Linked DNA regions of Pelodiscus sinensis. The protein of the gene in region 3 interacts with the protein of the main gene of each other region in a pairwise test. Links are inferred from orthologs where the notes say so. Each region holds a gene or a part of one and is shown on either strand. Other genes may lie near its edges.

The links.
Region 1: the proteins of MYO5B (region 3) and RAB11B interact in binary tests that used the Homo sapiens proteins (3 or more experiments, as listed by UniProt). The link is inferred for Pelodiscus sinensis from reciprocal best matches to the Homo sapiens genes MYO5B and RAB11B.
Region 2: the proteins of MYO5B (region 3) and BNIP2 interact in binary tests that used the Homo sapiens proteins (3 or more experiments, as listed by UniProt). The two-hybrid records come from large-scale screens. The link is inferred for Pelodiscus sinensis from reciprocal best matches to the Homo sapiens genes MYO5B and BNIP2.
Region 4: the proteins of MYO5B (region 3) and RAB25 interact in binary tests that used the Homo sapiens proteins (3 or more experiments, as listed by UniProt). The link is inferred for Pelodiscus sinensis from reciprocal best matches to the Homo sapiens genes MYO5B and RAB25.

Annotation. Positions count from the first base shown.
Region 1 is NC_134729.1:25,309,740-25,317,193, reverse strand, and holds the start of RAB11B (ras-related protein Rab-11B), read right to left. Parts: upstream 3,017-7,454; 5' UTR 2,899-3,016; coding exon 2,859-2,898; intron 1-2,858. UniProt on the Homo sapiens protein: The small GTPases Rab are key regulators of intracellular membrane trafficking, from the formation of transport vesicles to their fusion with membranes.
Region 2 is NC_134724.1:43,189,151-43,196,773, reverse strand, and holds the start of BNIP2 (BCL2/adenovirus E1B 19 kDa protein-interacting protein 2), read right to left. Parts: upstream 3,013-7,623; 5' UTR 2,896-3,012; exon of another isoform or gene 2,892-2,895; intron 2,790-2,891; exon of another isoform or gene 2,636-2,789; intron 855-2,635; exon of another isoform or gene 822-854; intron 1-821.
Region 3 is NC_134716.1:115,239,250-115,246,184, reverse strand, and holds the start of MYO5B (unconventional myosin-Vb), read right to left. Parts: upstream 3,016-6,935; 5' UTR 2,782-3,015; coding exon 2,755-2,781; intron 1-2,754. UniProt on the Homo sapiens protein: May be involved in vesicular trafficking via its association with the CART complex. The CART complex is necessary for efficient transferrin receptor recycling but not for EGFR degradation.
Region 4 is NC_134734.1:16,799,060-16,806,163, forward strand, and holds the start of RAB25 (ras-related protein Rab-25), read right to left. Parts: upstream 3,003-7,104; 5' UTR 2,682-3,002; coding exon 2,642-2,681; intron 1-2,641. UniProt on the Homo sapiens protein: The small GTPases Rab are key regulators of intracellular membrane trafficking, from the formation of transport vesicles to their fusion with membranes.

The DNA.
Region 1 (7,454 bases), on a different chromosome or scaffold from region 3:
ACATTTTTGATCTGCGTCGTGGGGGCCAAATGCTGGACCCAGCCCCCGGCCAGATCTAGGCACTGCACCGTGGGGACCGCCAACTGCTGGGCCCAGTCACCAGCTGACTGGATATAAGCACCACACTGTGTGGCCGCACCCAGCCCCCGGCTGGATCTAAGCACCACATGGCTGCCAACAGACGGGCCCAGCCCCCAGCTGGCCAGATTTAAGTGCCATGACCTCCCCCGGGGAAGACATCCGCAACCTCCTTGGCGGTCACGACTCACAGGCTGCGCACCATTGGTCTAGTAGCACCTTAAAGACTAACAAAACATGTAGATGGCATCATGAGCTTTCGTGGGCAAAACCCACTTTTTGCCCACGAAAGCTCATGATACCATCTACATGTTTTATTAGTCTTTAAGGTGCTACTAAATTTGTTCTCGACAGACTTCAGCCATCTCTTATCCCATCTATTTTTTAATATTAAACAGACACTCCCACATACACAAGAATTGACCATATCGTGGAGGGGAACAATACAAGAGTGAACTGGCTTTAGCAACAGTCTATGTTCAAGTTTCTCAACCATTTCCAAATACTGAACAGTCGGTGTATGCAGAAATTTCACATTAAACATTACTGTTGTTCTCTTGGCCACTAGGGTGATCATCTAAGTGGTGAAAAGAGAAAAGCCCAATTTAAAATGCTCCTATCTTTTAACAACAAAAATTGATAAACTTAACTGTTACAAGTCACTGGGACCAGATGGCATTCACCCAGGAGTTCTGAAAAAACTCAAATGGGAAATTGCAGAACTATTAACTGTGGTTTGTAAACTACCCTTTAAGTCAGCCTAATGTATCTAATGATTGGAAAATGGCTAACGTGATGTCAGTATTTAAAAAGGGCTCTAGAGGTGATCCTGGCAAATACAGACCAGTAAGTCTAACATCAGTATTAGGGATATTAAAATTAGATTAATCAGCTAATCAAATAGTCGATGGAATTTCCATTAACTATTTGACTAGTCAACAAGGGCGCTTCTGCTCTGAAATGTAGCAAGAGCTGCACTGCATTCTGCCTTTGAAGTGCCAGCAGGGGCTCTTGTGCACTTCAAAGCAGAACCACCCCATGGAGCCCAGGGTTTGCCGGGAGCAGGGGGGGGGGGGAGGGAGAGGAGAGGAAGTAGAGGGACTCCTCACTGGCCCCAGGCTCCATGTGGCACTTCCACTTTTTACAAAAGAAATGCCAGAGCAATAAATATTTTTAACAATTAAAATATAACTGAAGTTTTAAACCTCATCAGGTGTACTAAGCCATTCCAATGACAGTTGGAAGGATACTTGTACATATCTTTCCTTAGCAAAACGTGTCTGTAAAACTAAAATTAGAGCTAAATTATCTCCACGTGCTTTTTTAGGGTACAAATGCAGGGCCTCTTTTACACAAAATTACTGTTTGGCCTCCTTTACAAATACTGAAAAATTAAAAAGTCGTTCCTGAAAGGCAGTTGTGACCTTCCTGTTCAGACCACCATATGGTTGCTGGAACAGAGGGAAAGACAACTCAAGAACCAATGCACAGAAATAAGGGCAGATCAGAAGACCAGCAAAAAAATATTTCCTCAATACCTGCTCAATATATAGTTCCACAAAGAGGTAGAGTTGGACTTGGGCTTAACCACTGTCTTATTACTTTTGAGATCATAGTCTACACAACAGCCCTATCTCTTTCCATGTCAGAATCAAGATCCTACAGCTAGAAGGGGAACAGCAAAACAGTGTTTTACTTATGGGACAACAGATAATTCATACAAAAGCACTGTCCCTTCCTGAAAATTTAAAGTCTAATTTAAGTTCAGATGTTTAGATACAAGATCCATGTAGTGGTGCATATTTTCATCTACTTACATTATTATTGAGGGGGGGAAATGAATTAGGCAGTTGTCAAGCTTTGAAGTCTTAGGATACTGAGCCATTTGAAAAACTGATAGTAGAGTTTAGCTCCAAAAGGGATTTAGAACCAGACCTGACAGCTTACCATACTTTGAAGCTAATCAATTAAGTTTTAATAGTGGTGGGGAAGGAGGAAAATATTTTCCAACTATTTGGCAGTTCTTAAAACAAGTGGGTTATGTAGTGAAACACATATTCACTTTTATGAAAGACACACAAACTGCTGCTAATGGAAAAACATAATTTCCCTAGCAAGCCCAATATATGCATGGCCACCACCAAGAAAAAGAACAAGTGCTTTGTCTACATAAAAAGAATAAAGAGTCAGTCTCTAATGTGCCACAAGTTGTTTTTTGCAGATACAGACTAACATGGCTACCCCTGAGAATGTGTCTCCATACTGAGTCCTAGCACGGCAAGCAGTGGCGGACTGGGGATATTAAAATGCACTCAATTAAGTAACCAACCAGCCATGTAACCCTTGTGGGACGACAGCCGACTCCCCAGGAGTCAGTGGGGGTGGAGGGAGCCGGCTTTAAGCCAGCTTCCTGCACTACCAGCTCCTGCCCGCCCCGATACAGAGAGAGCCCGAAGGGTAACCGGGTCCGGGTGACTGTCACGTCCCCAGTGCGGAGCCGCGGCTCGCCCGCTGCCCACGACCCGGCTGGGAGGACGCTGCCCGGCGCGACACCCCGGAACGCGCCCACCGCCTCCCCTCGCGTGCGGGGCTCCGGGGCGGGGCCCTGGCTGCCGGGCGAGGAGACAGCCACGAGCCGGGTCACTGCACGCGCCGCCCGGTGCCCCCGGGCTGAGCCCCCGCTGGGCGCCCCGCGGGCGGGCGGGTGTCATGGAGGCGCCCGCGGGCTCCAGGCGGCGGGAGGGGGCGGGGACCGGAGGGCGCGGCCCCGCCCGCGCTACCTTTGAAGAGATAGTCGTACTCGTCGTCCCGGGTGCCCATGGCGATGGCGGCGCGGCCGATCCGCTGCTGCCAGGCACCGACGCGGGGCGGGGGGAGGGGTTGCCGCGGCCGCCTATCAGCGGCCTCCGGGAGTGGGCCACAGCGCGACCGCCTCAGACGCCACCCAATGAGAGGCTACATCTGGTGACGAGCGGGCAGCAGATCCAATCGGTCCAGGGCAGTGGGGCGGAGTCTGGCTAAGCAGGCTGGGGAGGCCCCGCGCAGGCCCTGGTGCAACCACCACCCGCCAGGCCTGGAGGAGCCCCGGGGCGCGTCGCTGGCAGAGCGCGGGCTTGTCCCCCCCGCCGGGCCCAGAGCCTGGCTCCTGCCCAGAGCCCAGAGCCTGGCTCCTGCCCTCCCCCCCGCCGGGCCCAGAGCCTGGCTCCTGCCCCGAGCCCAGAGCCTGGCTCCTGCCCTCCCCCCCGCCGGGCCCAGAGCCTGGCTCCTGCCCCCCCCGCCGGGCCCAGAGCCTGGCTCCTGCCCCCCCCACCCCGGGCCCAGAGCCTGGCTCCTGCCCCCCACCCCGAGCCCAGAGCCTGGCTCCTGCTTCCCCCCCAACCCAGAGCCTGGCTCCTGCCCCCCGCCCAGAGCCTGGCACCTGCCCAGCTCCCCCTGCTGTCTCCAGAGCCTGGCACCTGTCCAATCCTGGCCCAGCCCAAGGCTACCTGCCCAACCCCCTCACAGCTGCACCAGATGTTCCCAGCTGATACTAAATGTGATCAGCTGTTGAGGTGTGCAGGCAGCAATGGGAGGAGGGGGCACAGTGAGTGTGGGGCACAATTTGAGGAAAGGTGGAATGGGGGGTTGAGCATCCCCTAAGAACTCAGGAAGTTGGCACCTCTGCTTCCTAGTACACCCCCCTCCGAAGGACAAAGATGATGTGGATTACTCTGGTTGTGCACGTGTGCCTCATGCTGCAGGTTAGGCTTTTGGCCAGCAGTATCTATGTAGTGGGCCTACACTTATATCCCTTGAGCTCTTGTGCTGAGGGCATAAACAAGTGAAGCCTTCCTTTTACTGCCTTCTGGCCATAAGTGCTGACTTTCCAAAGTGCCAGGAGGAGCTCTGCCACAGGCTGGCCCTAACCCCAGCCTTTTCCCAAAAAGCTGCCCTACCCCTGCTCCCCTGAGCATACTGTGTTCTTCCTTCTCTTGCTCCCCTTCAGCATCAGGAACACTGTGAAATAGCTAATTGTGGTGAGGGGGAGGTATGGGAACAGAGAGGGGAAGGTACTGGCTCATGGGGCCTGCTGCACTAGCAGGAGAAGGGAGCTGATAGGCTGCACACCCACTTTTTTCTCCGTGAGTGTGCCAGCGCTGGAGCACCCAGTGCCAGTGCTTTGACATTAAGATGAAGCAGTTGCTGTCTGTCCTTGCAAGCAGGCTAGAATTCTTCCAAACCATAACTTTGTAAAGTTATGATTAAAGGGGTTAGTTACCTGCTCCTTGTCAATTTTTATTCACCTACTTAGTTTTACAGAATTAGACTTCTGGTACCAGAATGGCCTCCTCAGGTTCCTACTATTTCTGTTCTGTCCCTCCTATGAGGGAGCCATGCCAGCAAACTGGGCACCTCAAAAGCCCATCTTTCGGGTATCTGAGGTGCCTACTGGGGAGATATGCTGTTTGCATATTGTTTACTTCCAGAATCTATAAAGACATGGAGGCCAGACTCCTGATTCATCTCATGAATAAATCCATGAGGCCAGTATCGGACTCCTTGCTTACTGGCTCTGAGCTCCCTTTTCAGCTCCAGTGACTAAGCCAAATAAAAGAGGTTTCCCTTATGGTTCAGGGAGTCCCAGATCACTCTTCCATAGTAGGGATGTGAATGACTAGTCGACTATCCGATAAGAAAATGTTTAGTTGTTGAAGCAAAAGCCTCACTCAGTTTACGCAGCTAAACAGACAGTTTTATTGGCCAATAAAAGTAAAGTGAGCCAAATGTGGTCCCAGCAGAGCCGGGCCCAGTAAGGCTGGCTAATATAATTAATCCTAGTATTTTATACCCTTAACCAAACAAGTCTGACGTCAGGGCAAGAAATCAAAATGAACTTCAAAGAAGCATTATCAGCAGAGAAAGAAACAGGTTTAGAGGGAGTTCGAGCTTCAGCTCAAAATAGTTCATTAACACATTCCAACAGCGCATCTTTCTGGCCTCTCCCCACCTCGGTGAAGGCCTGTTCACTCCCTCTAGTATACGCGCAGACACAAGAAACTGAAATGGCTTTTGTTATACCGAATGGCTTCTAGCTAAATATTAAATGGTTTCTACATAGTCAACATGCTAGTCAACTAGTCGCTTCCTCCCCCTTGCTGCCTCTGTCAGAAAGAAGCAGCAAAGGGGGAGGAGTGTAGGGGAGCTTCAAAGTGGCAGCGCTGCGTGGAGCCTGGGACCAGCTGGGAGTCCCCAGCTGGCCCGGGCTGCATGCAGCGTTTCAAAGTGGCAGTGCTGTGTGGAGCCCGGGGTCTGCTGCTTTGAATCGCTGCATGGAGCCCGGGGTCAGCTGGGGACTAAGGTGGAGGGAGCCATGGCTAAACTATTCGATTAGCCAATTAATTGAACTTTACATCCCTATTCCATAGAGATTTTGTGGCCCACTATGATTCCCACCAAAGCTTCTTTGGCATGAATGTGGCAGTGATGAAGCTGCCTTGAGTCGCTCTTCTACCTTGTATTTGGCACTGCCCAAAGCTGCTAGAGTAATGCTGTATTAGACACAGCAGCCCCAGCAGTGCATAAGAGGGCCCACTCACAGTAGTGATGTTTGGGATGATGTTGCTGTGTGAAGAGATCACCGCACTATGTAGACTGTCTACTCCAAAGGAACAGCCATGGCAGATGCGTTTATAATGCTGGAGCCTGATGTGATGGGTTGGATCACAGCAATCCTCTTGGCACTGTCACCCAATGTACTGGTCATATTACTGAGCCAGCCTGCCTGCCTGTCCTTTGGGGTGCCTGGCAGCCTGTCCCTGCTATTATTCAGAGACACAGCTCGCCTCATTGACCTGCCCGCTCTCATCCAGCCTGATATTTGACCAACAGTTCAGTGGGCACACAGCATGGCTGCATTGGAATGGCAGAGGCCTTTGAGCCTGCAGAGCAAGAGGCCAGTGGGCATGTCAGGAAATGGGCCTTGGTGGGAATGGCCAGATCCTGAAGAGTAAGCAAAGATCATGCGGGAAGGCCCAGGGCATGCAGCAGAGATGGGGAAGCTCTAGTGCCTTACCAGGAACTTGAATCCTGGCAGGGCTGGCTCTAGGTTTTTTGCCACACCCAGCAAAAAAAGTTTGCCCCCCCCCTTTTTTTCACAGACGCATGAGTGTCGTGGGGCCTAGTGAAGCAGGTGCAGAGCGTTACTGTGGGTTAACCCTAGCTTGTTCTGGTTTAGCTACAGCTAACAGGATGAGAGTATCCACGTACCACGTTGCACTAGTTTAGTGGGTTTAGTGTCACACTTGAACAAAACCTGTTCACCTCTGTGTGGAGACTCCAGCATCATTTCTCTGGCTCAAGAGTTGTGTTGTTTTGTTTGTGACTATTTCTCTAGGCTCTAGCATGGTCCTATGCTTCTTGCCAAAGAGGTTATTGTGGCTGTAAAAGTCAGTCCAAGCGCCTGACTGCCTGCATGGGGTATTTGCATCGTACTGGCAGGAAGCTAGTGTGTGGTATATAACTAAGCAAACCCCATTTCCCAGCCAGAGGCTGTTGGGGCTAGGTCAAATCTTGCCAATTGAATAGCAGGTTAAGAGAGCTCATCAATTTCATGCCACTGCCAGTCCACTGAGTGCATGGCTACCAACCCAGCAGCATTGCTGCTCTGCAGCGTGGCACCAGCACTGATCCAGCTGTGGTCTGGCACATGCCAAGCCTGTGTCACCCTGGATCGGTCTCTGGCCGCTGGCTCCAGGCCAACTTGGGCAGGTGCCTGGAGAACTAGTTTTCAGAGACACACTATTGCTCATTCTAAAGCTGAGCCAGGATTCTGTTACCCCTTTACAATGCGTGTGGGGTTTAGACATAGCTGCCACTCTGCAGCCAAGGCCAGGCACCTATCCCAAGGGAGCAAGAGTCTGTTCACAAGCAGGATGGGTGAGAAAAAAGGCAGCTATTTCCAGCAACACTTGGAGCTTTGTGCCCTCCCAGGAAGCTGCGCTCCAGGATCCAGGACCCAGGACCCTCTTGTGCTGCACAAATAACCAGGACCCTCTTGTGCTGCAGCCTGGGGGTGGAAGCTGCCATGTAGGCACTTTTCATTACTTGTCAACAGGACACAGCATCAGATACCAGGTGTTACTACAACCAGGAACTTGGTGCTGGTCCAGGACCTGGGCATTTCCCAACCACTGCAGAACAGGAATGTCAGAACCTGCCGTTTCCTGAGTAGCACTGCATGCAGTGTCCTCGCTCTCCTCACCAGAGGGAGCTCTCCCCTTTCAGTTGGACTTGACAAAAATCAGAATTCAAAGAACCCACTGGAAAACAGAGGAGGGGCGATTCCTAGGGACGTCCCATTAAGTACCTCCCGTTCCTCATCAATGTATAGCAAAATA
Region 2 (7,623 bases), on a different chromosome or scaffold from region 3:
ACATAAGAGTGTAGTTATCTTACCAGCTAAGCATGACATTTCAATTGAAATTGTCATTTAAAAAATAGAAAAATTTCATAATGATGACAATTTTGCTTTCTAGTCACAGTTAATATATGAAATCTAAAAATGGCATATTTCCTAATTCAACCAAATGGTTAGAAACTTACCCAGATTAAAAGCACTGTCACGTTTTACTGTACCTGAGCAAAACTCTTTTGTTTCTAAATTTGTATCATGAGGTTCAAAAATTGAAATAACTACTCATCTTCATCAAGTACTAGCTACCTGCAAAGTTGCAAGTCATTCCCACATCTCAAAAAGTTATAAGAATGCATTGTAATGAAGTTATAAAAATACTTGCTTCGTGAGAAGCATCTTGCAGCTCTAAAAATAGCTTTTACTGGGGAGGAAAAATATTATTATGAAATGGAATTCAATGTAATACTGAACTCTATGTAATGCACTGTACAGCAGTTATTGCTTTAGGTTTGTTAAAGTAATTTTGGCTTTGTACCTCATAATATAGCCCAAGGTGTTAAACATTTTAAAACACACAGTTTAGCATGTCTTATTGCTTAATAAACCAGTTATTTAAAGTAGCTAACAGGAACAGTTGTGCAATTAATAGATTTGGCAACCAGATTAAACACGGATATAGTGGAAGCGATGGATTTCTTTAATGACTTTCATGCTAAAATGTTGTTAGAAGATTAGCAATAATCACTGTAAATCAACGTAACAATCATTAGTGTTCATCAAATCATTAATGTAAAGAACTTTTACTTGGAAAACATAGAAGAGAGTTGTAAATGACTTACCTGGCAGTTTCCACTGAAGAAACTTGTGCATAACTGAAAAACATATTAAGTTACTGTTTCAGTTGTCAAACATCTATAGCATAGCTTGACTAAATACAAACAATGATCACTTAAAGGAAGATTTTGAGTTCAATTAGAAGTTCCCAAATATGATCTTCCAAGACTTAATAAATAATATGGTGCTCGTACCTTCTTGTTTCCAACTATTAAATTTATTAGAAGTTAACACTAAATTCTTTTCCTCACATTTTTTTTCATGTATTTACAGGCAGTCCCCGGGTTACGTACAAGATAGGGACTGTAGGTTTGTTCTTAAGTTGAATTTGTATGTAAGTCGGAACTGGTACATATTGTAGGGGAAACTCTAGCCAAACATTTCTCCAGAGCTCAGTTTTATTCTCCCACACCTCACTTCCCTCAGTCCTTTATTCTAAAGCTGAGGTGTCTGCTGAGAAAAGCCGCTCCGCATCTCCCTGGTGTTCTGGGGGAGGAGGGGCACTAGCTTCACGTCTCCCTGGTCTGCTGGGGGGAAGCAGCTAGTGCGGGGTTGCCTCACCCCGTTTGTAAGTAGGGATCCGATGCAAGTCGGATCCGTGTAACCCGGGGACTGCCTGTAATTGTTCTGGCTGCTTTACAGTTATCTGATCTCCAATGGCAAGGGGTAAGCCGTTAAATCATGAATGAAAAGATGGTCCAACAGAAGAGTCTAAAAAAATTGGGAAACTATATTAGAGTTCATAACTTTCAAGTTTTAAACAACTTCTATTGAACTACATAGAGAGCAGGAATGTAAGTATTTGATTGAAGTTTGAGAAAACTTCAGCGAATTTGGTATTCAAGGTGACAACTAGATTGAAAACAGTTCTTTATTTCCTGTATTTTAATGTGGTATGTCCACCTATTTACAATCTGAGTTACTATAAAAATTGCAGCAGCTTACAGGCAGTCCACGGGTTACATGGATCCGACTTACATCGGATCCCTACTTACAAATGGGGTGAGGCAACCCCGCACTAGCTGCTTCCCCCCAGCAGACCAGGGAGACATGAAGCTAGCCCCCCACCCCAGCAGACCAGGGAGACGCGGAGCGGCTTTTCTCAGCAGACAACTCAGCTTGAGAATAAAGGACTGAGGGAAGTGAGGTGTGGGAGAATAAAACTGAGCTCTGGAGAAATGTTTGGCTAGAGTTTCCCCTACAATATGTACCAGTTCCGACTTACATACAAATTCAACTTAAGAACAAACCTACAGTCCCTATCTTGTACGTAACCCGGGGACTGCCTGTATCTATCTATCTCTCTCTTATTTTAAACTAGAAATCAACACCAAAAAAATTTTTTTTGGTCAGTCTCCACAAAAGAGGATGACCATTTAACAAGTTTGGTCTCTTCTGCAGGATAACCACAAGAAGCTGTTCTCTTCTTTCAACATCTGCATTCTGGGAATAGGGAATTTATCTGCTCACATGATAGGGTGCTACGGTCATAAAAGCTGAAGGGCGTTAAGCAGGAAGACCAGGGGATGTTGACAGTACGAAAGAACACACCCCACGCCATTTCAGAGTGCGATTCCTGCCTGTTTCAGCCACACATGCTAAGGAGAGCGGGACTGAGCAGGACTCCTGACTCTGCCGAGCAAAGCTCAGCTACGACACCTAAGTACTGGTCTCCCAGTAGCGGTCCCATCGTTGCTTGCCCGTTTACGTTGGATAGCGCCGCTTCAGACGGCGGTTTCGCGTTGAGCCTGTGAAGGCCGCTTCCCCTGCCAAGCCCTGGCTTCCCGAGACAGCGCCCCACAGAAAGCGCCGAACGCACCGCGGCCAGAGCGCGCTCAAAGCACTGCGGACGTTGCCCAAAGCCGCCCGGCCCCGGCTACCGAGCGGCCGGTTCGACACCGGGCGCCACACACGGCCCGGCCCAGCTCGGGGAGGGGGGTGAACAAGAAACGCCGCCGCCCAACGGTTCCCAAGCGCCCCCGACTCCGTGACGCCCCTCAAGGGGGCACCCCCCCTCCACAGAGCCAGCGACTACCGACCCCGCCCCCCCAGCTCCCCCCGGCAGCGGGACATACCTACCGGGACTAGGTCCCTTCAGGAAACTGACAGACACCCCCTCCTCCCACCCCCGCCCCCGCGCTGACCCGGAACCGGATGGGCAGGGAGAAACCAGAGTCAGGGTCGCAGGAGCCGCGCGTTCCACGACTCCGCCAGGGGCTTTGCAAGTGAGGCGCATGCGTAGTGCGTCCGGCATCCCCCCCCCCACCCCAGAGACGCTGGGAAGCTGCTGTGAGCAGCGAGGGCTGCTGCCCGGAGCGGTCAGCGCGCGGGACTGCGCGTGCGCGCTCCGCCCCAGCCTGTCAGGCACCGAACTCCCAGCGCTGGGGGTGGGAGGGCACCAGGCTTCCCGGTTCCCAGCCGCGCGCCCCCTCGAAAAAGGCCCGTCCTCAGCGCTCCCAGCCTGGGAACAGTGAGAAGCGGGGCGGGCCTGGCAGAAGGGGCGGGGCGGGGCGGGGGGACCCAGTTTCGAACGGTCCGAAGACATCGCGCTAGGCAGTGTGGGGGCTGCGCCGCAGGAGCCGTTGGGGGAGCCGGGTCCTGTGCCACTGAACCAGCCCGGCCCTGAGGGCTGAACCGCTGCACGCCAGCGCTGGGCAGCAGCCCCCTGCCCCTGGGCCTGGGCAGGGCCTGCCACAGGGTAGGACGCTAGCGTCAGACTGGCTCCAGTTGTCACAGGTATGTCTGGCCTCAGCTCCCCTCCAAAGCAGGGGGAATGAGGGGCTTAAGTACTTTGGAGGATCTGGATCTCCCTGGGCTACCCAAGCCCCAGGGGATTTTGTAACTGAAAAGTAGTAGGTGTCACATACAATACTTACGTTGGTAAGAAATGATTCCCTCGACGGCACATCAATTTCATCATAAAATTCTAAACATTTACCAAAAAGCATTTTTTTTTAAAGCAGGACATCAATTCTTGTACTTCTAGACACGGGAGGTTCATATATGGCTGTATCAAACAAGACCCACTTCTTGACAAAATCAATTTCCAAGGGATGAAGTGTCCCTGCCTCCCTCTACCCCCTGCAAAAAAAAAAAAAAAAAAAAAAAAAAAAAAAACCACTGCAAAAAAGAGTAGTGGTTCATGCGCCAGTCAGGGAATTCACTATTCTGGACAAATCAAATCAGATGTCAAAATGATCAAATGTGTGTCCTAAAAGTTAGGCACCTAAATAAAGTGTAAATAAGTGACCTAATTTTTTAGAACTGCAGAGTCTCAGACTGTTTCTACATTGGCGCAGTCTTGCGCCAAAGTGGCTGCTTTTGCGCAAAAACATACTGCCTGTCTACATTGGCGGGGAGTTCTTGCGCAAGAACACTGATGTTCTAATGTGTGAAATCAGTGCTTCTTGCGCAAAAACTATGATGCTCCCACTCAGGAATAAGCCCTCTTGTGCAACTGTTCTTGCGCAAGAGGCTAGTGTAGACAGGCAACATGAATTTCTTGCGCAAGAAAGCCCGATGGCTAAAATGGAGTCAGCTCTTGGTCAATTTCAGCAGCGGCTGACTTGGGGACGCCTGGGGCAGAGCAGCTGGGGTGCTGCTGGGTTGGTCCCGCACCGCCGCTCCTCAGCGCTACTGGATCAACCCGGCAGCACCCCAGCTGCTCTGCCTCAGGCGTCCCCAAGTCAGACGTTGCTGATACTGAGTGAGTCAGCCGCTGGTCAATTTCAGCAGTGGTCAATTTCAGCACCGAGGAGCGGCGGTGCGGGACCAACCCAGCAGCACCCCAGCTGCTCTGCCCCAGGCGTCCCCAAGTCAGCCGCTGCTGAAATTGACCAAGAGCTGACTCCAGAAAGCCTGAGGCAGAGCAGCTCTGCCTCGGGCTTCCTGGAATCAGCCTCTGGTCAATTTCAGCAGCGGCTGAATCAGGACGCTTGGGGTGCTGCCGGGTTGGTCACGCAGCCCCCAGGGGCAGCGCCCCAGCTGCTCTACCTCCGGCTTCCCCGATTTAGCCACTGGTCAGTTTTAGCAGCGGCTGAATAGGGGAAGCTGGGGGCAGAGCAGCTCCAATGGTCCGGCTGCGGAGCACTTCCGGGTTCCTGATGGTGCTGGACCATCAGGAGTGCCGGACCGTCAGATGCCGGACCAATGGAGTTTAACTGTATATTGCTATGCTTTATGAATCAAGGGAACATGAAGGGGAGGTTAAAGCGACTGGGACTTTTCAGTTTAAAAAAGAGGAGACTGAGGGGGTATATGATAGAGGTCTATAAAATCATGAGTGGTGTGGAGAGGGCCGATAAAGAAAAGTTATTTATTAGTTCCCTAAATAGAAGAACTAGAGGACACCAAATGAAATTAATGGGTAGCAGGTTTAAAACGAATAAAAGAAAGTTCTTCTTCACACAGCGTGTAGTCAACCTGTGGAACTCCTTGCCAGAGGAGGCTGTGAAGGCTAGGACTATAATAGAGTTTAAAGAGAAGCTAGATAATTTCATGGAGGTTAGGTCCATAAAAGGCTATTAGCCAGGGGATAAAATGATGTCCTTGGCCTCTGTTTGTCAGAGGCTGGAGAGAGATGGCAGGAGACAAATCGCTTGATCATTGTCTTCGGTCCACCCTCTCTGGGGCACCTGGTGCTGGCCACTGTCGGTAGACAGGATACTGGGCTAGATGGACCTTTGGTCTGACCCAGTACGGCCGTTCTTATGTTCTTATGCACTCAGTGTCTCTAAAATGTAAGTTAACTCACATTCAGAATGCATCTGATGAAGGGGGTTTTATCCATGAAAGCTTATGCCCAAATTAACGTTAGTCTTTGAGGTGCCACAGGACTCCTTGTTGTTTTCACATTTAGAAAGGGCTTTGAGACCTTTGGAGTTGTACCATTTTAGATGGCTAGATAGAACACTTATGCCACTACTATATTAATCATAAACCTGCAGAGAAATTATATTTTTCTGACCACACACATCACTAGGACTTTCACCTATTACCACATTATCCTTTACCCTTTCAGAAATAGTGAAGTCATCTATCTTTCCCATCAGAGAGTTTGAGGTAGTCCTCCCACAAAGATCTTGTTTATGCAACAACAACAAGAATTGTCTATAGTCTTTTCCAGCACAAGTACATCTGAAGTACTGCAATCAACAGATACAATGCTAGTGTAAATGGACTCAGGCATTTTTACCATCACATCATGAAAATCTGACTATAACCTTTCACATAAGCAGGCTTTTATAATGTTGAGTAAAAACTCCTCAGCACTGTACACACTAAAGCTTACATCATGTCTAATAGTGCATCTAAACTGTTGCTGAAAAATGGGTACAAACTTCTCTAGGGCAGGTGCAATCAGAGATTCAGATCAACATAGAGTCATTCACTCAACCTATTCTGAGTGTCGCTAGCTTTATAAAGAGCTTAGTACATTGCCACCGTATTGAGACAGGTGCTAACCTAGCCAGTTTCTCTTCACTTACCTTATGGTAGCTTGTCGAGACAAAGGTGGAAGGGTACAAAAATGAAGTCAGTTTGACTGTTTCAGGAGAAGGAGGAGGATCAATATAAAACTTAACTGTCAATACATGAGTAAGAATAAGGGGGAAATATGGAGGAAATAAGAGGGGGAATAGATTTAAAGGTGTGGAGGAAAAGAAAAATGAGCAGAGAAAAGGAAAAAGAAGACAAAGGTGAAGAAAAATATGACAGAGCACAGAGACAAAAGAAGTGCAATTAATAAGATAATAAGGTCACCACTCTCAGGACCTTACATTATTTGTTTGTGCAGAGGTTAGCACAATGGCCCCTAATATATATTGGGGCCTACATGCACTACTATAATATATGGCTAGACTGGCATGATTTTCCAGAAATGCTTTTAACAGAAAAGTTTTCCGTTAAAAGCATTTTCGGAAAAGCACATCTAGATTGGCACGGACACTTTTCTGCAAAAGCACTTTTTGCGGAAAAGCGTCCGTGGCCAATCTAGATGCTCTTTTCCGCAAAAAAGCCCCGATCGCCATTTTCGCGATCGGGGCTTTTTTTGCGCAAAAAAAATCTCAGCTGTCTACACTGGCCATTTTGCGCAAAAGTTTTGCGCAAAAGGGACTTTTGCCCGAACGGGAGCAGCATGGTATTTCCGCCAAAAGCACTGATTTCTTACAGTAGGAAGTCAGTGCTTTTGCGGAAATTCAAGTGGCCAGTGTAGACAGCTGGCAAGTTTTTCTGGAAAAGCAGCTGATTTTCCAGAAAAACTGGCCAGTCTAGACACAGCCTCTATGTTTAGTAATAAATAATAAAATAATTCAGGCAAGAGAGGGTTTAAATAAGGAAGAGTTGGGTGTGTAGATACAGAATGGAAAATGCAAGAAGCTGAGATTTGAAAAATATAGCAAAAGGGACACAGATGGTAAATACTCACCTCCTACCTTGACGGTACATGGTACATCCCCATTTTTACTCTGGGAAGAAGAGTACATTAAAGAATAAGTTGGGATGGGCATTGCTTAGTTGAGAAGTGCATACGGATACCATATTTTCTTTCTTTGCCCCCTGTCCTTTATATACCTTGAATGCCAGTCCAACTTTGAAACATCCCTCACTCTCTAAAAAAAAAAAAAAAAAAAAAGAATAGTCTTGCAGCACATTAGAGCAGGGGTTCTCAAACTTTGTGATACCGCGACTCCCGTCCAAGTTGCTCACGACCCTCCAGGGGGTCGGGACCCACAGTTTGAGAGAAACAGTCTTAGAAACTAACAAAAAATGTAGATGGTCTCATGAGCTTTTGTGGGCACAGCCCAC
Region 3 (6,935 bases):
CCAGTGTTACACCTTACTCGCCCCTAGGCACAGCGTCTTAAGCACTTCCCTCCTCCCTGCCCACAGCTGACCTGTTTTCTGTTTAAAAAAAAGGGTGGGGGGGAGAATTTCAAGAAGGGTGAAACTGTTTTCATCAGGTAGTTGATCATCCACATGAGAAAATGTGCATAGAAGACAAACTCCATCAAAGCCCAGTCACAAAGTTTCCAACCATCCATCCCATCTTGAATATCCATTGAAGTCAGGACCATCTGTACAGAGGACTAGGGTCCCATAATTTTTTCTTCAACTCCAAACATATTTCAGTCCCTATAATGCTCCCTGCTGGCAGCAACCTTTAGCCTTCTGGATAAGCAGGGAAAGTTCCTGGAGCAACCAAACAAGATCATGCTGACTGGGTCATCCTGACTTTACTTGGGTAATACCTGTGTGTTTCTGAAAAAATGACAGCACAGTGCAGGGAACAGCCATCTACCTAGTTCTGCTCCTCCTGACTCACAGTCAAGCCTGGAAAAACTTGAAAAACAACAAATAGTCTAGCAGCACCTTATAGACTAACAAAACATGTAGATGGTATCATGAGCTTTTGTGGGTACAACCTGTGTAGTACACCCACAGAAGCTGATGAACTTCACAGGAAATTGTTCAGAAAGGAGCATAAAACACCACCTCTGAGGGCAAATAATCTCCTGTTTACACCTTTCCCTGCACATCCAGCACATAAATATTAGGAAAACCGAAAAGCCAACAATGTCTGCAAAGATACCCACCCACGCTATGGTGCATCTACTTACAGTGTTGGCTCTCTCAGACACTTATCTAGGAAACATATGTATCGATATTGTGACTGACTGTGAAACCCACAGAGAACAAGCCCATTCCAAACTGGCATTTAAAAAATAAAAAACAAGGTATGTTAAATTTCTTTCAGGAGAATGCTCATCCTGTACTTGGGGTTAAAACAGCAGCATTGCTTGGAGTGTAATAATTGTACTTTAATGTTGCTTTGCCTAGTTTTACCTTTCTGGAATGTAAAAGTTCATTTTATTTTGTTTTGCCTAGAGGTTGTTAATGAAACCTGCTAGGCATACAAGCCATAGTTTTTATGTTACTACTTATGCTGCCATACACCAAAGCTAAAAAGTGTTTTGCTCCTGCCTGGTCTCAGGAGAAATCTTATTTCTGAGAGTATTCCATGGAGAGCATGCAACGTTCATAGTCAATTTCACTCCAGCAGGCAGCACAAGCAACATAAGGCAAGAAACTCAATCTAAACTAGACAACTTCATTAAGCTGTCCTCACCTAGGTTCACTGTATACTGACAAGGCTTCTTAAAAAAAAAAGTTTGATTTTTAAATAACTCTATGGTGTGCCTAAGGCAATAAACACAGAAGTAGGAAGGATGATCTTCTCACCCCTGCCCCATCTGAGCTACAGAAGAGAGTATCAGATGTGTGTGTTAAAAACAATAGGAGGATCTTCAAAAGTTGCTGAACTGCCCCCCAAAGAAACCACACTGCTGCCTAAATCTCTTTCTGGTGGTTGTTTCAGTGAGACACTGTCCTTTCCCCAATGCAAACTGTAATTAGTCCGGAACAGGTTTCCCAGACAGACCTACTGACTCTCACCCACCCCACCTGTGTGGCCAGGAACACCCTTGGTGCCCGTCCAGGAACTGTCAGCATTTCCTACATGATTCATCCACCCGAGGAGAGGACCATGGTCCTGCCTACTTCACTGAGCCAGCCCAGAGAAAAACACAGCGGCTCTTTCCAGTAAAGCCAGCAAAGCCACTAGCCAGCCTATTAACAGTAACGGCTGTGCCCCCAGCAGGCTGCCACGGCTTGGGAAGCGTCCCCGGTCCCTAACTTCATGTGGCCACTGCAGCAACAACTCGAGGTTTCCTTTTCTCTGCACACCTGTTCCGGGCTCTTCCCCCTCCTCGTGCTCAGCCCAGCCTCTCCCTAGCTGCCCGAGCCAGCCGCCTCCCAGCCTGTTCCTGCCCCGATCACCCTCTCCCCGCCACGTCTGGAGCACCAAGCATGTACCCACCGCTGCACAGAAAAGAGAGCGCGATGCAGGGGTAACTCGCTTGTAGATTAACACTCCCCGGGCCCCACTTGCTGCCGCTTCCCCCTCCAAAAACACCAGCCACAAACTGTCAGCGTGCGGCCCCTCCGTGCCCTCAGAGGGCCCAAGGGAAGGGGGGACTGCAGGGAGGGTAGCCAGGCAGTGCCCTGGGAGGTGACCCTGCAGAATGAAGGGCAATCGGAGAGGCACTGGCCCTGCGGGTATTACAGGCGGAGAGGGGATAGCACAGCGATAAGAGGGGCAGGAAGTTTCTCCGGGGTGCTGCACAGGGAGGGAACTGCAGCGCGGGGGAGCCCGCTAGCCGGGCCGCAGGCAGCAGTGCAAGGGGAGCGGCCCCACGGCGAAGGCGGAGAGAGGCAGGTGCAGGGCTCCAGGCACCAGAAGTTCCGCTCGCCTGTGAACACGCAGCCTGGCCCGCCCGCTGCAGGCTGCTCCCGGCCTGGCTGCAGGGGGGCGCCCTAGGGGCCGGCTGGGGTGCCCAGGCAGAGAACGAACGCAGCCGGGCGGGTCCCGAGCCCCTGCTCCGGGGGGCTGGGGAAGCGGGCGGGCAGCAGCGAGCCTCCCCCTCTCCCAGCGCGGCAGGTGGTTCCCAGAGCGGCGTGTGAACCTCCGCGGCACAGGCCCCGGCTCAGCCCGGGACTCCCCACCCGCCCCCCGCTCACCTTGGTGTAGAGCTCGGAGACCGACATGTCCTGGCCGGGACCCCCGAGGGGCGCGGGGCGCGGCGCAGCCGGGGGGGCAGGGTTCCGCCCCAAGCGCCCAGCCCAGCCGCGAGGCTGCTAGAGTCCAGGCTCACACGGGGCCGGGCGACATGGCTCCGGGCCGGGCAGCACCGGGATGCCGGGCGGGCCGGGATCCTCCTGCAAGCTCCGCTCCGGGGCTTCTCCCGAGCGCAGCCGGACGCGACCTTCGCACCCGAAGTTATTGATCAATCCGAGGAGGAGGCGGGTGGAAGCGGCAGGTCCAGCTCCGCCTCGCACGCCGCTCCCAGCGCAGGTATGGGGAGGTGCGGGGCAGCCCGGAGCCTGCGGGCCCGGCTCGCCAAGCTGCGAAGAGAAGCGAGCAGCGCGTCCAGCCTGGCTCGGCTCCGCTCTTGTCCCAGGTGCGGCTGGCGGAGCAGCTGCGCCCTCCGCTCCCAGGCGCGCTCTGTCCGCACCGGGCAGGCACCTAGGCAAGGGCCGCCCGCCCCCTGCTGGCCATGGCGCAGCCCCCTCCTTCCTCCCGGGAGCGCCAGCCAGCCTGCGCCTCGCTGCCCTGCGGCAGTCCCCTATCGCCCTCCAATCAGGGAGCCAGCAACATGGGACTAGTGCTTGAAGCCATGGGGAGGTGCAGTTCGTGGACACGTGAGAAGTTTTCCAGCGCAACCCCGCTCCACATGCTACGAGGTCACGTTTGGATCTTGAGGTTCGAATGGGTCCTCCCTTCATCGAGCAGAGACTGCTCCACCCAAAGGCTGTAAACTGCTAAATCTGCCCGGGGAAGTTTTACCACACCACTCACTTCACTGTGCTTGGGGAAATCGTTTGCGTTTGGGGTTTGGACGGCCCAGTAAATGTTATTGGGAAGGTTGTTTGGGGAGCTGGTTTTGGTTGTAGGTTTTTTGTTGGTTTGTCCTATCCCCTTCCCCCCAAACATGAAATACCATACTAAATAGTTGGAAATAAACCAATTCTGTGCCTGGTCTAGCAAATCTGCTAAAGTCCTGTCTAGAGTGGATTTTTGCCTCTGCTTCCTAAGCACTGTTCAGTAGACAACAGCCCTGTTCCTGCTTGCCCTTTAAATTGGTGCAAACAAAGCAGGATTAACACTGCTAAAATGAATGATATTACAATAACATGAAACGATTGTAAGAGATGAATCAGGGCCTGCTCTTTGGAAGGTGCCAGATTACATGAAACGAGATGTTTTTTATATCTTTACCCCCTTTACAAATTATTCAGTTGAATGTTGCTGATGTGTCAGTTTTTATAGTAATATACAAGATAGTAATGTAGTAACTAGCCATCTATTCATATCACAGCCTTTATCATGGTAGATTTGTATCTAAAAGGAGCAAGGTTCATCTGCTATTTCTAATAAGGTGCATTTGAGGGCTCTAGCATCATTAACCAGAGTGCTCACTCTTTCATTTTCTCCTTCCATCTCATTTGGAATTTCATTTATTTTTCCTGCATCACCAACCATTCTAAAAGCAGTACAGGCCCACTGAAAGCTGCCTCTTGGCTGCTGGATTCTATATGAAGCCAGTGCTTTAAGGGAAAATTACTTTCCTATGACTCTCTTTCTTAATATTACAAGTACCCTAACCTTTGCCTTTAAATCTCCTTAGCTGAAGATACACTCTCTCAAGGTACATTTACACTGCAACACTATTTGGAAATAACTAGCGTTATTCCAAAATAACTTAGTCCACATCTATACAGCAGGGTGTTATTTTGAAATAATGTCAAAATACTGTCAAGCGGAAGGACTTTTTACTTTGACTCCTGAAACCCTCATTGTACGAGGAATAAGGGAAGTAGGTGGCCGAGTGCTCTATTTCAAAATAAGTGCTGTGTAGACATTCCTTGGTTTGAAAAAAGCTATTTTGAAATAAGATATGCAATTTACATAGCTCAATTTGCTTAGCTTATTTCTAGTTAAGCCCTGCAGTGTAGATGCACCCTCACAGTTCTCAGTCTTGGGTCTGTTAGGCCCTAGAGAATTGGGCCTAGTGCAGTTATGTTAAGACAGATCAAGGAAAGAGGTTAACAAAGGTTTCTGGGTAGTTCCTGAACAGAACAGAACTAGAACTATGGCTCAAGCAAGGGGCAATCCCTACGTACTTGCTTAAGTTGCAAAATAAAGTAAGTAAAAGGCTGCACCTGTGATGAGAACAGCTAGTTTGAGAACTGATAAAGTAACTCCCTGTTTCTGTTCTCACCCTGATCTTAACAACTGTCTCTGCCCTCTGTTTGTTTTAACTCCCTGTCTCCTTGTTGTTTGGTACTTGCCTTCTAGGCTGATAAGACAGCTGTTGATGCATTATGAATTGCTTAAGGCCATGAAGTATACGCATTAACACTAGAAGCTTCAAATTAATTAAGGGGGGGCTAAGATGCTTAGGCAAATGTTTTATGACACGACGGAACTGTCTATATAATCTTACTTGTTACTGAAATCAGGGCTGGTTCCCTTGGGAGACGGGCCGCTCTCTATTGTAGTGCGCACTATTCAATAAAGAGCTTGTGATTGGATCTTGCTGGTGTTGCCTGTCTCTTTGCGGTCAGACAACGAACGGAGGCCGTCCGGGTTAAAGTCCCTGACAAATCTGGCGACCCTGCTTCATAGGGTTAAAAGTCTTGTGCATTAGTGTTGTTCTGCTTTTCCTTATAGTGATAACATGAGATCAGAAATTGAGAGCCCTGTGACAGCAGCCTCTTTAAAGAAACCTTTTAATCCCTTCAGTATGGCACTCCTATAGTTTCAGCAGGAACAGGGTGGTGTGGAGCCTCTCTGGTGTTGCTGAGCAGCGTTGGTGCTGCTCCAGACTTGATCTCAAAAGGTTCAAGGATGGGCGGGTATCTGACTCACAATGGGAGGTGAGGCTAAAACAAAGCAGGCCTTCCTTGTTCTGGGAGGTGTCAACAGCACTGCTAGGTGTTAACCATGAGCTGGCAAGTGCAGTGTTTTATGGCCCCATACAACAGTAGTCTGAACTGATTCCATGTGCTCTCTTTGACAGAGCTGAAGTTTTGGTAACTGCCCACAAATCAGGGTTCGTGGAATGACTGATTCCAACTAATCCTCTTCAGGAACAAAACTACCCACCTTTGTCTGAGGACTGCAGTATTCAAGGTGTCACTAATCCCCGGTGCAAGGTCTACCAGTGGCTTCAGTGAAGTTATGACACTTATTTTAAGACTGTGTGTAGCCCAAAGAGCTGCTAGGTGTGATACTGTTTTATCCTGCTGATAATCTGAGTGCAGCAGTAACATTCACAGTGAAAGTTTACTTCCTCTATTCATCCTAAAGAGAAGGGCAGTTACTGTAAAAGAGCTAAAAGCATCTCAATGACTTGAAAGGTCTTCCCACCACATCCCTTGTAGGAGACCTATGTGGCACTTACTTATGGAGGTAGCATGGTCTAGTAATTAAAGCAGCAAAATGGGAAGAAGATTGGGAATTTCCATCCCAGCTCTGCTATTGTCTCACAGTGTGATTTTAATAATAATTAAGACAAAATATCTAGCTCTCCTAGTAATTCACATCAGTAGATTTTAAAGCTCTTTACAAAAGAAGTCAGTATCGTTACCATTATTTCACAGGATGTGAAAAACTGAAGCATAGACAGGGGAAATGACTTGCGTAAGGTCATCCAGCAATTCAGTGGCAGTGCCAAGAAGAGAATCCATCTCTCCCAAATTTCAGTCCAGTGCTCTATTGACAAAGCCACAGACAAGTGACTTACTGGTTATATGCCTCAGTTTTCCCACCTGTAAAATACAGATACCTTTTTTGCTTTTTGCTTCTCAGGTGACAGGCACTTGCTAAATGAAACAATTAGAATGTTATATTATCTGCTCAGGAGAGGAGCAAAAACTACTGGGTGAACAATAATACTGGGAGTTAAGAGTTTGCAGTACTGCTGCCAGCTCTTCCACTGACTTGTTGGGTGACCTGGGACAAGCCACTTGAATGTCTCCATGCTTCAGTTCCCTCCTCTATAGAATGGGGATAATAAGATGCATCTTGCAGGAGTGTTGTAAGGCTTAATTAGTGGGTGGAAAATACTTGAGCTCCTGGGAAGGAAGATGTGATGGAAGTGTAAACTATTAATTATCATTGCAAAGACTTTGTATAT
Region 4 (7,104 bases), on a different chromosome or scaffold from region 3:
CTGGCTAATAGCCTTTTATGGACCTAACCTCCATGAAATCATCTAGCTTCTCTTTAAACTCTATTATAGTCCTAGCCTTCACAGCCTCCTCTGGCAAGGAGTTCCACAGGTTGACTACACGCTGTGTGAAGAAGAACTTTCTTTTATTAGTTTTAAACCTGCTCCCCATTAATGTCATTTGGTGTCCTCTAGTTCTTCTATTTATAACTTTTCTTTATCGGCCCTCTCCACACCACTCATGATTTTATATACCTCTATCATATCCCCCCTCAGTCTCCTTTTTTCTAAACTGAAAAGTCCCATTCGCTTTAACCTCTCCTCATATGGGACCCGTTCCAAACCCCTAATCATTTTAGTAAAAGTTTGGGGCCTAGTTGCCAGAGCCACTGTCCTTCTCCCAGTGAAATAAGGGCATACAGACCTGGCTAGAAAGTAATAAACATTTTCCCCTGCAAATAAAAATTTTGGTTTAAATGTTTTTTTCCAGAAAAACCAAAACATTTTCCTTGTTCGAGAAAATAAATTTGGTGGGTTTTTTTGTTTTGTTTTTTAAATCTGGCTTTTGTTGCAATTCCAGTTACTGAAAGCAGTTTGACTCAGGTTAGAAGAAACTGCGCTCTAAAGGGATGCAATCCAGTTAGGGCCTGATCCTGTCAGCAGGCATTACGCCATGTTGGCATTAATACTTTTTACATTACAGTAGTACTTGGAGGCTCATACCAAGACTGAGGCCCCAGCATGACAGGGGGCCATGACAACCCAGAGCAAGAAACAGTCTCTGCTCCTTATGGGGCCTGAGAAACACAGATTATTTTAATTGTATCCTTTGGTATATATGGTTGTGACTATTTTCTTCCATTATTTGATCTGAGGAAGTGGGTCTGGCCCATGAAAGCTCATCACCTAATAAACCATCTTGTTAGTCTTTAAAGTGCTACATAGTCCTGTATTTTGTTTCAGCTACACCAGACTAACACGGCTACATTTCTATCACAGATTAGAAGTGGGTCTGGCCCATGAAAGCTCATCACCTAATAAACCATCTTGTTAGTCTTTAAAGTGCTACATAGTCCTGTATTTTGTTTCAGATTAGCCACAGTACTTGTTGCATTCCGGCCACACCCCAATCCTCCCTCTATGTTTATGGCCCTTTCCTCAGCTCCAAACCAGTTGGGACAGCCCCTTGTGCAAGCAGGATCCTTACATGGCTATTTCCACCCTTTAAGGCTGCTCTCCACTTCGTGCTGGTCTTTGCACCCCTTCTGATCCGGTAGCACTTTGCATAGATGTAAATGCGCACTCACAGTGTGGGGTGATGGAGAACCAGCTCCCAAGGTGGGACAGTCCAGACATCCATCGGGATTCAAATGCCTGGGGATCTGGATTGACAGAAGCCCCAAACCTCCACACTGAGCTTAGCACCATTCCACCAACCCCCCGCAGCAGTGACACTGTAACACTGGCTACTTCTGATTGTCCAGCTAGGCCAGCAGCGACGAGTACCTAATACTCAAGAGCATGGCTTCCCAAACTGGGGTGTGTGAAGAAATTCCCGGGGGGGGGGGAGGAGCACGAGGCGACCCAACCCCCCCCTCCCCCATCAAGTTTTGCTGCCCCAGTCAGTTCCTTTTTTTTTTTTCCTCAACAAATTTTGCTATTTTGGGGGAAGGGAATGTGAGGGTTTTTGAAAAATCAAAAAGTGGGTGTGATGCTGAAAAGTTTGGGAACTGCTGCTCAAGAGGGAGGTGTCAGACCCCCTGACTGCATCCCACAACGCACCCGTCAGTCCAGGCACCGAGCTGGGCTGTTGATTTACTGATGGGATACTCAGTGGGTCACAATCTTGGACAATTTGGGAGAGGAGGGTATAGCTGAGGGGCTCATCTGAGCCAAATTCCTGGTGTAGCTCCACTGACTTCTTTAGGGCTTATGCCCTGGTGAAGTGGGATTTGGCCACAGGGATGGACCGAGGTCAAAGAGCCACCTCGAAGGACTCCTCATAACCACAGGAGAAAGACCCTTTCCCCCAGTTTCTGTTCTGGATGGCTGCTTCCCCTCCACCTCTTGTGGTACATGCCCTAGCCCAGTGGTTCTCAGCCAGGGGTGGGGGGAAAACATGTGTACACCTGTGGGTCTTTCAGAGGGTACATCAGTTCATCGAGATATTTGCTCCGTTTTACAACAGGCTACATAAAAATCACTAGCAAAGTCCATACACACTAACATTTCATACAGACAGTGACTTGTTTGTACCGTGCGCCACACTGAAATGTAAATACGATATTCATACCCCGGTGGATTTATTTTATACTTCGGTGGTAAAAATGGGAAAGTCAGCAGATTTTGGAGTAGCCGTGCACGGCGAGATTTTTGTGTTTCGACGTCTGGTTTTGTAAGCAAGTCATTTTTAAGTGAGGGGAAACGTGGGGCTTGCAATTCAAATCGGACTCCTGAAAGGGATACAGTTGTCCAGAAAGGTGAACAGCCACTGTCTCAGCCCATCACTGCTGCAGCTGGTCTCCCCACATCCATCCATCCATCCTTTGCCCACCTCTCCCCATGCCCCCAGTTCCACCCTTCCAAAAGGCAGAACTAGCACATTGAAACCTAGTCACCGAATGAGGGTGCCGGCAAAACTTACCCTTAAAGACAAAGTTATAATTCTCCTCAGCTGTCCCCATCTTTCCCAGCCACACCTGGCCCCCCTCCGGCCTGGGATCCTCCTCTCAATCTTTGCTTGCTTCCTTACCAGCCAGGGTGTGGGGGAGTTTTCTTTTTTGCCAGGCTCTGATAAACCAGGAAGAGAGAGGACAAAATTTCCTCCTAAGCCAGCGAAGCTGAAAGCGATTGGGAGGAGAGTTGCCAGAGGGGAGGAGACCCACAGAGCCAAGTTCCCTTTACTGCACCAGCTCCCAAAAACCCAGCTTCTGTGTCCTGTTGTCAGAGGGACTGGGCGGGGAATAGATCCTTTCTAGGCGGGTTGAAGGTGCAGCTCTGCAGGGCTGGCTGACTCAGTGAGGTGTGACCCGGGTGTCGCTGTACAGGTTTGTCAGGTAGTGCAAACCACCCCCACCAGCGTCACATGGTTGCTGGGCTCACCCGTACTGGCCTCGGCTTAACTTCACCCTAGGTGTAGAGCAGGAGTGGGGAACCTTTTTGGGTCGGGGGCCACTGACCCACAGGAAAAACGGACGGGGGCTGCATATAAAGTGAGAAGAAACAAACAAGCAAACAAAACTCCTTAGTGACGTGGCTCCCAGCTGAAGAGAAAGACACTCTCCACATTCCCCTTGTGAACCAGAGCCTAAGGGGTCCAGCCTAGTACATTATGTGTGCCCAGTGAGGTGAACCTCGGAAGGCTGGATCCAGGCAAGCCGGGGGCCACATCCGGCCCCCAGGCCTGAGGTTCCCCACCCCTGGTGTAGAAGGACCAGTTTGAGTGGGGGGTTTCATCACAGGATATGAACTCATAGGAAAGATGAATCTTTCATTCCTGGGGATGCCAGAGGAATTCTGAAGGGCTGGCAAGTCTCTGGAGGAGGGAGGGCCAGCAGGAAGCCAGACAGCAGGGTGTGGGAGGCAGAGGGGACAAGGAGAAAGAGCTGAGGATGGAGAGAGGAGCAATTTGCCTGCGGAACCAACTCTGCGGATCTGGGTCAAGTGCCTCAAAAAACACGCTTTGCCTCAGGTGTGTCTATGCCTACAGCGGGCTCCCCTGGAAACAGTCCATGCCTGTCTGGTGACACACCAGGGAGTGAATCAGGGATCTGCAGCGTGAAAAGTCTGAGCCCCCTTATCGCTTCAGCTCAGCCCTGCAGCCTGACTTCTGTGGCTGGGACCAAGAGAGAGGCCTGTAACACACACTCTGGCCTGGGGCTGACACCGTTTATTTCCTGAAGGACTCCTTGGAGGAGCAGAGTGCCAAGGGGACTGACTATTTGAGAGGGGAAGGGATGAACTAACAGGAGTCTGGCTGGGGTTGACAAGAGGGGATGCAGAGGAGGGTCCAGTTGTACCAGGGCTCCAAGTTCGAGGAGCCCCAAAATATCTGTGTAAAGAAAGTGACAGGCAGAGCCATCCCATCTGTGGTAGGATGAACCAGGGTGGCTGCTCCGGCTCCTGGTGAATATGGGGGGGGGGCTCTAATCCAGGACGTTGTTTGGGGGAGGTGATGGTGGTGGGCAGGAGCACAGCAGCAATGGGGCTTGGGGAAGGGGAGGGGAACAAGGGTGGGGCCTGAGGTGGGGAAGGGGGATCCCAGGGCTTGGAGCACTGAGGGTCATCCAGGCCCTGCACCCCCCTAGGGATGGCCCTGGTGACATGGGGGGAGCCCCAGGGAATACAATGTACTTGGGCCCCAATTGCCCCTTGCTCTGCCCCTGCAGACCGTGTGCCTGCTGTGACTAAGGTGAACCCACGGAGCATGAGAGAGGCATTCTCAGTCATCCGTGTGCGAATGACTCGCGCACCTCAGCGGTCCATGGAGGTGACCTCTGGACTCCGTGCTGTACATAGACCCAGTGAGAGACAGACCCTACCTGAAGAGACAGCTTACCAATGCAAACAGCGGCCCAAAGGCTGGGGAGGGGTTTGATTTCCATGGTTCAAAACCCAGCTCTCCTGACTCCAGCCCGGTGGGCAACCCCTGAGCCAGGCCCTCCTCTCACAAGCAGGTCCTGTCACTGCATCAGCATCTGCTCTGGGGACTGGTAGAAGAGACACTGGAAAGGCCTCTAAAGAGGAGCTGAGGGAAAAGGTTTTAAAGTGGCTCAGGCTGGTGGGGGGAAGGCCCCCAATATTTCATTCCGCAAATGGGGTTCTCATTGCCTAGCCTTAGAGCAGGGGTGGAGAACCGACGGCGTCAGGGCCCTCCTAGCATTAGGGAATCGACATTGTTCCTGCAAGGGGCTGGAGCACACAAAATCGACTAGCCTGGGCCTGCCTAGACTCTGGTGTGAGGGGAATGGCTCAGTTGGGGGGTTTGTTGGGTTTTTGTTTGTTTGTTTTGTTTTTTTCGTTCTCACTTGGGGGCGGCCCCCGACTGATTTTTCTGTGGGTCTGTGGCCCCCGACCCAAAAAAGGTTCCCCACCCCCGGCTTACAGCCACTACAGGGCAGTGAGCGAACCCAGGGCTGCATGAGGCAAGTCCCTAGCTCCACCCCTGCTGCCTGAGGCCCCGCCCCTGCTGCCCAAGGCCCCCATGGAACCCAAGACCCCACACTGTAGGGGCAGGCCACCCCCACCCTAGCTTTCCCTAGAGCACAGGGAGGGTCGGTGGCCCCCCCCTCCAAACCCAGAGGGCAGGCAGCGAGCGGCTCCTCTGGCCTTGGAGCCCGGGTGATGCTGAAGCCCAGGCACCCCAGGAGACTGGAGGGAGCCACACTGAGTGGGAGGGGGTTTGGGGGCAGAGTGTGGGTGGGACCAGCCAGGTAGCTTGGGAAGGTATTGCCTTCCCTTGCCTCTTACACCTGCCACCCATGAGCCGCTACGATCCCGCCGCTGGATCCCCAGAGCTGCCACTGCAGGAGAATGATCAGCCCTTGGACGGATCTTAGGTACGGGAGGCAGCGCGACTGAGCCAACAGGGCTTTCGTCTATGCCTGGGACCGCACCTCTTTCCGGCTGGGCAGGGAGCTGTGTGAGCTAATGCCACCGCCTACGTAGGCAGGTGAAAACTCAGCAGGGGGTGGGAGAGGCCAAGTCACAGGAGGAGAAATCAGAGCCATTAAGGGCTTAGCGCTACCCAGCACCGACGCTGTGCGCTCGTGAACTATTTCATGCTAATGCGGGGTGGGGGGGTATGCGAAGTCCAGGAGGCTAATTCCCCATTGTACTCTTTTTACATGGCTCAGGAAGCCCTTTTTACATGGCTCGGGAAGCAAGTGAAATCCTGGCCCTACCAGTGGTGCTAGAACAATTCTTGATGTGAGCTGCACCCCGCCCCAGCTGTGGCTGCGCCCCAAACCACTCCTTAGAGCTGGGGCTGGCAGCAAAGCCCCTGAGGCTAGCAGCTGAGTAAGACCCAGGGTGGACAATGGAGTTCCTGGGCATGGGGCCAGCTGGCAGTGGGGTCAGTGTCTGGGAGCCCAGCATGCAGGGTGGGCAGTCAGGACTCTGGAACCTGCAACAGAGCAGCCAAGACACAGGGTGCAAAAACTGAGGGTAGTGCAGCACCCCATACACCCATACTTCCTGCGCTTATGGGTGCCACTGCTGTTACTGGCCAAGCTCCCATGGGCCTCCCTCATTATAGCTCATAGTTTTCTTCTGCCACTCCCAAAGGAGAGCAGTATCATTACTCCCATTTTACAGGCAGGGAAGCTGAGGCACAGAGCAAGCAAGTGACTTGCCCGAGGTCACCCAACAGTCCAGAAGCAGGACTAGAATACAGGTCTCCTGACTCCCTGTCCAAAGCACTAGGCTACGCTGCGTCCCCCTTAGCTCTGAGTTAGCAAATTTCCTTCTATTTCCATAATTTGTATAAACATGAGTGGATTAGAGGAGGAGATACAACTATTTTGGATTTGTCTACACAGTGCCACAGCCCCGACTCAGGGCATGTGAACTGGTGTGTGCTCTCATTGGCTGCTACTCTGTGCAGACTCTGCCAGCATGAAAAGGTGCCTAGTTTGCATTGATGTAGCTCTGTGTCAGACAGGACCATGTGAACACAAAAGTTGGGTAGCTTTTAGTTCACACCCCCTGGGCCAGCCCAGGGCAGGCAGAGCATGGTACCATCCTCCGACCCGCTGATCTTGGCATGACCCAAGCCTTAACCCTGGGCACAGCACTACATGAACTGGCTAGTTTCACTTTTAAAAAACACCAGGACAGCTTCTCCTGCTGTTGGTGCAGATCAGAAATAACTCCACTTACACTGTGGTAGGAGGGGGAGAATCGGGTGTTTGTGGGCCTCCTACCACCGGTGGCTGGATTTACAGAATCAGACCTGGACACTGCTGGTATCTCCAAGAACAGACACTCCGAATTCATGTCTGTAGTCAGTCACGGGGGTGTAAATCCAGATTGACTCGCTCCAGATTTACACCAGTGTTACTGGCAGCAGAGCATTTTCGGTTAGGAAATGAAAGTTGCATTCCTTAT